Danio rerio: one gene and its partners. The protein of the gene in region 2 purifies or fractionates together with the protein of the main gene of each other region. This does not show direct contact. Links are inferred from orthologs where the notes say so. Each region holds a gene or a part of one and is shown on either strand. Other genes may lie near its edges.

Region 1 (3,660 bases), on a different chromosome or scaffold from region 2:
AGGTTTGAGGATTGTGTGTTGTGCTTCCGTAGGTTCACTCTCAGAGGAAGGGTTGCTGTTATACCTGAATGCTCTACAGACGCTTTTGCCTTTGTTGCCAGTGACAGAGTGTAACAGTAGAGCTGACATCAACAGTGATTCAGAAGATGAGGAGGAAATGACCGTACAGCATCCTGCAGCACCGGTACATGCGCGTTCTCGCTTATTCACATCTTTACAGCATAGTTTACATTTTGATCAATTGTGTCATTTTTTTAAAGGATGGCAGTTGGATATCTGTGCATTACATAACGGAGGAATGTGTACAGAAGTTGGACACCAAGCAGCAGACTAATGCTCTGTTAACATTAGTGTGGAGAGACTCGGCAAGTGAAGATGTCTTCACCATGATGGCCTCCATCTGTCACACGTTGATGGTGCAACACCGTATGATGGTGCCACGAGTCAGGTCAGATACACAATAGACTAAAACCTAGTAAATTAACCTCACAGTCATCATCACATTGAGGGCGATGAATCAAAGGCAATTTTTATTTTGTTGGTAAAGCCAGTTCTAGTAAGCCTCCAGCATGAGGTGTCAGATGGAGGAGATTTTACTACACGGAGTTGTAGTTCACTGACAAGCTACGCAAAAACAATTTAATTGAATATGACATTGCAATAATAGTTCTGTCATAGTTACAGCTGTTATTGTTAGGGTTGTCAAAAGTATTGACTTCAGCACCAATGAATAATGATTTTTTTTCTTTTTACGCCCTGTTGAGGAAGTTCTTAAACACTGTGTTAAAATGCTCAACAGATGGAAATTACCTGGATTTCTTTTCCATTGGTGGAGAGTGTGGGCTATTGATCACTCAACCGTGCTTTCCTGACAAGATGTGCATGAAAATTAGGGATGCACTGAAATTTCAGGCAATGAAAATTAGCAGCAGAAAAAGATATAGAGAAAAATATCAAAAATAAAGTCTTAGTCAAAATAAAGGCTTAGATGTGCTGTGCAGATTTCACACTGGATGTGGAATGATATGTTCTATGAAACCAGCCAAAGTCGCAGTTTGAAATAGCAAAATTTTCCGCTCTGTGAATATTCTGCTCATGTACCAGTTAATATTTCTATGCATGTAACACACAAGCTTACCTGGAAAAGCAAAGTCTGCTCAAGTAAATTGCTGTCAGGACATTTTTACATAGTGTACTTGTTCCTCCTGCATGCAATAGTGTGTTGTCATGGCAAAGCTGGTAAAGTGACTAATGTCAATAAAATGTGACTATTGTCTTAAATAAAAAAATAAAATCAGTATTGTTTAAGTTAAATTCTAAAAAATCTGACAACATTAATTTTTTTTATTAAATAATAAATAATTATTACCAAGTAGTTACAGTTTTTGGCCAAGTACATCTAGAATTTTTTTTAGGGGGTTTTGATGCTGATTTTCCATTGCATTACATCTTTAATAACTTGCATCTTTCTAAACTGTGTTTGCAATTTCATTTTAGTTAATCACTAACCCTAACCTATGGGCTTAACATTTAGACTTTGATTCAGTGCACAGAGAAAACCTTTTTGTTGCAAGATAGGTTTTTTTCTTAAGTCTTGAAAGAGCTGTAGATGTCCATTAAATGGAAATACATTAAACTGTCCTTAAAGGGCCATGAAACCCCCTCGTTTCAGCAGGGTGTTTTCACACCTCTACTTTGGAAAAAGTCAGAAAAGTGGGCGTGTCCAGCTCTGTTTAGGGGGGAGTGTCGGAGGAACTAAAGTGGGATGGTGTGGGAGTGTCTATTTAGGCACGCGTGAGTTTCAGAGTCAAAATCAACACACAGGAGAAAGTGATGGTGTTTAACCTACATGGACATCTGTAGTCGAATTATTTGCCAAATTATTAAATGTTGGACTTTAACTGCTGTTTGGCTCTTTCATTCAGGGAATTCATTCATGCCCCTCGCGACAAACGAGATATTTGATTCGAGGAACTGCTCTAAGCGTGTATTTTTCATGCAATGTTTGATACCGCACGGCGAATGAGAGAAAAAAACCCTCAGCATTTCCCGGAAACTTAGATGCACACGGCAGGTAGCGTCAGAAAGCCGTGTGTGTTATTCCGGTCACTAAATGCGGTAAAAACCCTACACGAGATTAAAGTTTGGTTGTGGTATTAACATGTTTACACTCGGTGCAATAGTTAACTTAGTTCAATACGAACAAACTGAATAAACAGAGCACTGGTTGCTCACTTACCAAATCTGTAGAGACAGGACAATCAACAGCAGCTAGAGCCGTGTCTTTATTAAGAGAAGACTATAAGCGAATCCGGATCTCAGCGTTTGCAGATGAGAACAGCTCTCAGGTAAACAATAATCCTCCTTAGACACGTAAGTTATTGTTGTCGAGCGTCGCGTAGACTGTTAATCCACACGTGACTCTGAGCTCTCACAGAGAGAAAATGAAAACAAAACTTAACGGCAGCAAACTATAAAAGCAACACTTCACGCTTGTTTTGCCAACACAACGTGGCGTCTCTGTCGTGTAAATACGGTGACACTAATGAATATTAATAAAGTTGCACAATAGAGCGCGCTGATTGGTTTAACCAAGCTTTACTCATGCATTTATGCAACACACTGTAAGACGTAATAAGACTCACTCTGGCACAGACGCCCAGTCTGCACGCTGGAATACAACGCTATTATGTCATGACCCTTGACACAGCTTTAAAAATTCGTTTCAAACCGGAAGTACGAATTTGCTTGAAATAACGCAAAAACAACCAATTTACACTTTTTAGTGAAATATAGGTGTCCTAATAGTGTTTTTAGCAGTGTGGGACACATATACGACTGTCAACAGCTCAAAACATGCGTTTTGGTGTTTCGTGACCCTTAAAGCATTTGAGCAGGCTGTGTTACTTTTTTGATCCTTCCTACTGCTAGTTTTTAAAACCTAAAAGCAGTAACAATTCTGAAGACACAGACAATTAAATCTAATCTTTTTTTCTTTTCTTTTAATTGCCAGGGCAGTTTTAGTTGCTGTCAGTCATCAATTAGTGTAATGTGCTCTCCTCTACAATCCTTTCTCCTCTACGTACTTCTGATCCTGCAATGTTGACAAAATGAGACCAGGATTTCAGTTTGAGTAAACTGAGTGATGGAGAGAAGAGATGGATGTAAGAAGACAGGGAAGAGAAGTTTGTCTGGTTTAATGAGGAAAGGATATTGATAAAGGCACTGTGCATTAAAAGGCAGTGCCAATCAGCTAAATCAGAACTATTTTGAAGATTCCACACATGTAGTGCCTTTAATCCTGCAGAATAAGTGCTCACAGCGAGCTTATGATGTGTTCTCAGTATTAGAGATCTACGATTTCTGCATTATGTATTGAAATCAATTCTTAAAAAAATCCCCTAAGGCCATCTAGTTCTAGGTCATTTTTTTCTTCCAATTTTTTTATTTAAAAAAAAACAACAACTTTTATTTAAAAGATTTACAAATTGATTTATCACAGTATGTCCAAATCCCTGTTAGCTAATGCAGTTCTTAAAAGCTGACATTTTGCATTTTCTAATAAAAAATGAAAGTTTTAGTTGATGTTTAGTTCAACTCCATTACTATAGCAATTTCAAAACTTTTAAAATAAATGACAAAGCATAAATAAAACATAAA
Region 2 (4,131 bases):
ATTTTGAAGCAGAATTTCACACTGTAAAACCCAATAAGTTAAGGTAACTCAAACCATTTGAGGAAACCGATAGGAACAAAACATTTAAGTTCAAAAACTAATCCTAATGAGTGCTGTGAACTTAATCTATTTGAGTAAATGAACCAATTTGAGCACAGTAAACTCCAATAAATGAAAAGAACTCAAACCAACTGAGTACTGTAAAACCCAATACGTTTTCACTGTAAAAAGTGATTAGTTACTTAAAGCGAGTACACTAACTGCCTTAAAAGCAACAAGTTGACTTTACAAAAATAATGTAAGTAAACTCATTGTAACTTGGAACTGTAAAGTTGACTTAATTTTTATATTCATGCTAATTGTACTTAATTTTTAAAGTCAACTAATCCCTTTTTACAGTATCAGACTAATTTAGCACGTCTGTTTTTAAATAATTACTGTAATTATCACAGTAATACATATTTGATGCTTCATTAAGTCTATAAATTACACTTATAGCCTGTATTAAGGTAATAAAACCCACTGGAGTCTGGAAGAGCAGATTTATGAAACTGTCATTGTCCTGTAGATACAGAAAAGTTGGGGGGAAAAAAACTAAATACAATAAATGGGAAAAAGTGATTAGTTTACTTTTATTTTTAAAAAGTAAGTACAATTTGCATAATTATAAAAATTAAGTCAAGTGCAGTTTCAAGTTACTATGGGTTTAAACATTGAGTTCAAAACTCTTTTCAAATGAGTAGAACTAACTTTCAGTAAATTTTGAGTCAACTACACTCATTTTGTGTGATCAAGTTGACTGTTGGGTTTCACAGTGTGGTTCCTGGAAAAAAAAGGGTAAATCTTTTAACTATTTCTTGCAAAAAGGATACATTATTATAATATCCGATATAATATTTAAAAATGAAATCTGATAAACATATAATTAAAATGTGAACACATCAATTATGATTAATCTATTTATTGAAAACATATAAATATAAATAATATTTATAATATTTTTCCATACAACGTGAAAATAATAATAAAATATAATAATAATAATAATAATAATAATAGGCTTAATTTTTAAATCAAATATTTAAATTGTTATAATATGGATTATATTATATTATATTTATTGCGTATTTCATTCATTCATTCATATTCTTAGTTCCTTTATTAATCAGAGGTCGCCACAGCGGAATGAATCACCAACTTATCCAGCATATGTTTTACGCAGCGGATCCCCTTGCAGCTGCAAGCCATCATAAGCTAAATTGGCGGTAGTACATGTGTGTGAATGGGAGTGTATAAGTGTTTCCCAGTGATGGGTTGCAGCTGTAAGCGCATCCGCTGCGTAAAGCATGTGCTGAATCAGTTGGCGGTTCGTTCCGCTGTTTTTTTTAATACACCAGTGATTACTTTCAAAGTAGCCTACATTTAATCTATAATTGTAATACTGCAAGCACGTTGATAATATTAGAAGACTACTATAAACCATATGGCTCATTCGGCGATATCTATTATATAAAGCTTTTTATATAAACACTTCAAACTGCTTGGCTTATAAAAAGGCAGTGAAGCCCTTGTGCATGTTAAAAAGCTTGGCGCAATCGGTAGCACGGTTTTGCGCATGCGCACCAGAACATTTCTCTCAGTTCATAACGTCGAGTGTCCACGCTGTTCACAGAAACACAACATGTCAGAAAAGAAGCAAACAGTGGATTTGGGGCTTTTGGAGGAGGATGATGAATTTGAGGAATTCCCAGCAGAGGGTAAGTGAACTGAAAATGAACAGAAATTAGCTTTTTTTTGCTCGTTTTAGAGATAATAAACATCCACGACAGGACAGTGACTCAGCTAGCACAGCTAACGTAGCATGCTAACTGACAAAACATTCTTTATACAGCAAATTGTTAACATATCGTGTTTTTTAAAGGAATCTAATAATTATAAATTGTTTATACGTTTTTAAATAATACATCTGAGCGTGTTCTAAGTTAGTCCACAGCCGTGGAAAAAAAACGTTTTAGTAGTTAGCATTTTAGCATCTCTGAAGCTAATGTTATACATTGTGTACACTTGTCATTTGCTCAATTTGAAGTCAATGACTGCTTTTGTTAAACGTATGTATGTTTAATGCTCTGTACAGTCTGTTCTGTGACTCTTATTTGTGCATTAACATTAAGTCAACATTGAAGCCCGTGTTAATCATCTTATTGAACTGAGCTGTTGTCTCATTCTCAGACTGGACGGGCCTGGATGAAGATGAGGATGCTCATGTTTGGGAAGATAACTGGGATGACGACAACGTAGAGGATGACTTTTCTAATCAGCTGAGGTAGGAGATGCATTATCAATGTATAAATTATGTATATGAAATACGGGGCATGCTTTATTGTTGCACTAAATAAGGAGTATACTAGTTTAATCTAACTTCACAGTATGCAATTCCTGGTAAACATTATGGTGTTCTAGTGTCTCTTATAATCTGCTAGCATATTAACTTTCTGTCAAGCCCACATTTTGTCTAAAGAATTTGGTGTGGTTAAACTAATTTAGAAGAAAACCCTCCCTAAGGGAACTAATAGTCCAATGGCTAACCGACATTCATGGTGGCCTCAAACCACATTCACAAACTTTACTATCTGTGAGGACTTGGCCCAAGTACATACAGGCATTTAATATGCTTACATAGATGTTTAAAAGTATAAAATATAAGAGTAAGTTGCTATGTTATATAGTTTATGCTTCCTATCAAGGTTATTATAATTAAACATTTAACTATATATAAAAAAATGTCACTCGAAAATCTGTAAAAAATAAATAAATAAACCTTTGGTATATCAGTTTGTTGCTAATGTAAAAAGTTTTGTACTAAATTTTGTATGTACTATAAGGAAAAACATAAGCTGGAATCTAAATAATAAAAATTAAATGGGGATATTTGTTAAAAAAAAAGTAATGTTGTAAATACAAAAAAAAAACTTTATATCAAATAAAATAAAAAGAGCTCAGTTATAAAAACATAAATATAACCTAATCTTTGAGAATACCTCAAATAGAAATTCAAATAAATTTATACCAGTTTTTAAAAGGTTGATTAAAACACATTTTTAGAATTTAAATTTTTTAAAAATGGAAATAGAAAATTGAAAATAAAATCTTATTAAAAACTAAAATTCTATATAAAATTACTAAAATCTAATTATAGTAAAGTAACTTTTTTTCTCGGTACATTAAATTAAATACATTATTTTCTCTTTCCTGATGCTTATAAATAAAGCCAGACATTTTTTGTTATTTCTGCGCAGAATTATTTTAAAAATCTGTGGATTTATGCATAATGATTTTAGTAAAACTGTAACAAAACTTAAAGTATGAAATAAAAAAAAGAATATTTTTTTAAACTTTTTTTTTTTAGTGCTTAAAATGCAAATTCATATATGTAGATCCATTTATTGGGTAAACAACACAAGTCTGTCATAAAATATCCAATAAAAGACAGAAATTATTACTTTAAAAATTGTATTGTGAATAAATCAAAAGACCAATTTTTTTATATTAGGTCAATATTATTACAGAAATTGATTAAAAAAACTAAATAAATATAAATTTACTCACATTTACACAAGTAAATAAATGGACTCAGTGGTGGAATAAAAATCTGTGGTAATCTGTGTGCACAGATTTCATATGGGCCTATATATAAGCAATAAATCTGTTGACATTTCTCACAAATTCCCCATTTGATTTCCAGCACTATAAAAACTAACAGTTATAAGGGCTGTGCGATTTATTTGAAATTAGCATTTAGTTATGTACAATATTTTTGGATTATTTCATTTCCCCCGCCCAGAGCAAATGCGAGATTGCCGTCTGTGTGTGAATTCTTACTATCTAATTGAGTGAGCACACTTTCTGCCCAATCAGAATTGAATAGAATTGAACTCTGCGAAACGCCCATGATAAAAAACAAAAACAGGAAAGCGCAGACAAGTGGGATAATGGTATCTGCTGTTTCAAAAGCAATAATGAATTAACATAAAAGAAAAACAGCATTTGTTAATATGCGAATGTTTTGGTTTCAAACTCGCAGACACTGAACCAAACCAGGTCATTTTTAAGAGCTGTTGCAGAATTGTTGCT
Region 3 (3,660 bases), on a different chromosome or scaffold from region 2:
GTGTTTGTGTCATTCACAGGTAAAAGCCTTAAAGGAAAAAATCGAGAATGAAAAGGGAAAAGACGGGTTTCCAGTGGCGGGACAGAAGTTGATATACGCAGGTGAGTCCTTTTTTCACCCGTTTCCACTGAGTGGTACAGTACATGGTACGGATCACCTTTATTAGGCTTGCGTTTGTACTGCCGAAAGGGTACCAAAGGCGGGCGTACTGTATGAGCGAAAGTTTCAGTCGACGTCATTCTTGCTAGAGGGAATGTCTACAGTAAAGCTGCACGGGTCGTTCACAGATCATTTGAGAAGCACTTCTCACAAAACAGCTTTATACACATAAATACTGTATAAATGTTCATTACTAATCTTTCTATCAACATGATCTGATTATAACTGCAGATCAATGACCGTGTGCAATAGCCTACTGTAATGTCTGATTATATAAACATATAAACGCATACAGACCCTTACAGTTTCTGATATGTGACCAATTACAGAAAAGACTACACACAGCAGACATTTAGTCCTTCGTCAGCACATGTAGCCTCTGTTAGAAAGTGTTTCCGTCATTCCCAGTTCATTATAGGCTTCTCCTTTGTTTTTTCACGCTTCACTCTTGTGTTTGTCCGCTTCTGAAAGGATCAGATGTCAGAGGCTCTTCAATAATCAGGCATGTTATTGTCATCAGCTCAAGAAGTTTGTTATTTTAAATAAAGACGTGCGGTGAGCACAAGCAGAAAGTGAAACCGCTCAGGATATGGTCAGCCTTGTAAACAACTATGGGGCACAGGGTAGTTCTGCTCTTCTTCTTGGTTTTGTGGCTGTACATCAAGATGACGACAGTTTGTTTGAGCTCGGCTCGACCATGGCTTGTTGTATATATTATTATGGTGTAATGTCTCAGCTGTGTTTTTGAAAATAGCAATTCCTTTGTTTTCATTCTTCTGACTCTTTGCATGAGTGAGTGACGTATCTCTGTTAACCTTCCGAAAGGGTACCCAAAAAGTGGTAGGGTATGGTTACCAGTGTAAAACGCCATAAAAGCGTACTGAACCAAACCACTCAGTGAAAATGGGCCATTTTTTTCCAGTGTTAGATTGGACGGATGTGGCCTGCTGTTACAGGGGATTTCCCCATAGTCTGCATTTGTTGTTTAGTTCTTATACCTCATTGTATTGGAAAAATCAGACATTGTGATATTTTGGTTTTTAGCAATTCTATATTATAATATGGGTGTGTAAATATAAGAACGATATAACTATAACATTTCACCTGATAGCTCTATTTGGAAAGAAGTCATTAATTTAGATTGATTGGGATGATTTTGCATGCATGTGCATCTGCAAAATATAATGACGTTAAAAGCATATATAAATGCAATATAGCACAGATGATCTTTTGAAGTCAAACAGAACAGTAATTCAATAATTAAATCTAAAATGATACTTTATAGTCTTTATTGTGTGATTAAATCATCGTTAAAGCCACAAACGTTATAATTTCTTGTGCCTAAATGGTTTAAACTAACTTGGAAGTCTTGACATGGGTCTTAAAACACATCTGAGATGAACAACTTTCATTCTGTTGGGGTTAAAGATTGCAGTGAACTGTGTTGCTGGTTATTATAATCCCAATTTAACATTGCAGATCCTGTAGTGTGATCCTTGCAGATTCACACAATGCCATATCAATGCTGAAGCGATATATTGTTTAGCCCTAATGTTGTGTCTTATTCTTTAAATCTGCTTGCTTGTATAACTACTTTAATTTACCATTGCATATAAAACATGCCAAATAAATAAACTTGCCTTGCTCATAATGCCGTGATGTATAATAAGTGTTAATGCAGGGCTGGAGTTTGACAGATGATTGACAGGTTGAGAGTTGATGAGTCATGTGCTGTTTACTTGAATTATTGTTGCAGGTAAAATCCTGAGCGATGACACGGCGCTCAAGGAGTACAAGATAGACGAGAAGAACTTCGTGGTGGTTATGGTCACAAAGGTGAGGCTTTATCAGTGTGTGATTGTGCAGAGGTATTTACGATGCGTTTGGGTAATGACATTTCAAATGTTAAAGAGGAATTCATAAAACATACACAAGTATAATGTAATGGAGTAATACATGTTATTGTTTAGAGATTGAAGCGGTGTATAAAGGGGAACTCTTGTGCACTGATGACTTTTATAAGGGGATTAAACAGTTGTGTGTTTGTTTATTATGCATGAGTGATGCACTTACATAGAAACAAAAGCACCCAGCCCTAGTTTGTAATGCTGAGTGAATACTGAGAATGTGATGTGTTATTGTGTGTGTGCAGCCTAAGTCAGCGTCTGCGCCGGCTCCTCCCTCCTCCTCCTCCTCTTCTTCCTCCAGCACTACAGCATCAGCGTCTGCGGCTCCGTCTGCAGCTCCAGTATCTGAGAGTCCGTCTGAAGAAGAGAAGAAACCCAGCGAGGAGAAACCCAGCAGTGACCCAGCACCCGCCACCACACCTGTCAGGTAGACACACACACCCAGCAGTGACCCAGCACTCGCCACTACATCTGTCAGGTACACACACACACACACACACACACACACACACAGCAGTGACCCAGCACCTGCCACCACACCTGTCAGGTAGACACACACACACCCAGCATTGACCCAGCACCCGCGACTACACCTGTCAGGTAGACACACACACACACACCCAGCAGTGACCCAGCACCCGTCACTACACCTGTCAGGTACACACACACCCAGCAGTGACCCAGCACCCGCCACTACACCTGTCAGGTAGACACACACACACACACACACACACACACACACCCAGCAGTGACCCAGCACCCGTCACTACACCTGTCAGGTACACACACACCCAGCAGTGACCCAGCACCCGCCACTACACCTGTCAGGTAGACACACACACACACACCCAGCAGTGACCCAGCACCCGTCACTACACCTGTCAGGTACACACACACCCAGCAGTGACCCAGCACCCGCCACTACACCTGTCAGGTAGACACACACACACACACACACACACACACACACCCAGCAGTGACCCAGCACCCGTCACTACACCTGTCAGGTACACACACACCCAGCAGTGACCCAGCACCCGCCACTACACCTGTCAGGTAGACACACACACACACACACACACACACCCAGCAGTGACCCAGCACCCGTCACTACACCTGTCAGGTACACACACACCCAGCAGTGACCCAGCACCCGCCACTACACCTGTCAGGTAGACACACACACACACACACACACACACACACACACACACACCCAGCAGTGACCCAGCACCCGCCACTACACCTGTCAGGTAGACACACACACACACACCCAGCAGTGACCCAGCACCCGCCACTACACCTGTCAGGTAGACACACACACACACACACACACACCCAGCAGTGACCCAGCACCTGCCACTACACCTGTCAGGTAGACACACACACACACACACACCCAGCAGTGACCCAGCACCCGCCACTACACCTGTCAGGTAGACGCACACACACACACACCCCCAGCAGTGACCCAGCACCTGCCACTACACCTGTCAGGTAGACACACACACACACACACACCCCCAGCAGTGACCCAGCACCTGCCACTACACCTGTCAGGTAGACGCACACACACACCCCCAGCAGTGACCCA

What was found.
Region 1: the proteins of sem1 (region 2) and ube3c purify together in Homo sapiens (affinity purification with western blotting; 3 studies listed by BioGRID and IntAct, with this or other methods). This does not show direct contact. The link is inferred for Danio rerio from reciprocal best matches to the Homo sapiens genes SEM1 and UBE3C.
Region 3: the proteins of sem1 (region 2) and rad23b purify together in Homo sapiens (co-immunoprecipitation; 3 studies listed by BioGRID and IntAct, with this or other methods). This does not show direct contact. The link is inferred for Danio rerio from reciprocal best matches to the Homo sapiens genes SEM1 and RAD23B.

The regions. Positions count from the first base shown.
Region 1 is NC_133182.1:40,969,334-40,972,993, reverse strand, and holds part of ube3c (ubiquitin-protein ligase E3C), read left to right. Parts: intron 1-32; coding exon 33-184; intron 185-260; coding exon 261-448; intron 449-3,660. UniProt on the Homo sapiens protein: E3 ubiquitin-protein ligase that specifically catalyzes 'Lys-29'- and 'Lys-48'-linked polyubiquitin chains.
Region 2 is NC_133194.1:44,123,193-44,127,323, reverse strand, and holds the start of sem1 (26S proteasome complex subunit SEM1), read left to right. Parts: upstream 1-1,321; 5' UTR 1,322-1,681; coding exon 1,682-1,757; intron 1,758-2,229; coding exon 2,230-2,323; intron 2,324-4,131. UniProt on the Homo sapiens protein: Component of the 26S proteasome, a multiprotein complex involved in the ATP-dependent degradation of ubiquitinated proteins.
Region 3 is NC_133196.1:588,779-592,438, reverse strand, and holds part of rad23b (UV excision repair protein RAD23 homolog B), read left to right. Parts: intron 1-19; coding exon 20-101; intron 102-1,915; coding exon 1,916-1,995; intron 1,996-2,311; coding exon 2,312-2,493; intron 2,494-3,660. UniProt on the Homo sapiens protein: Multiubiquitin chain receptor involved in modulation of proteasomal degradation. Binds to polyubiquitin chains.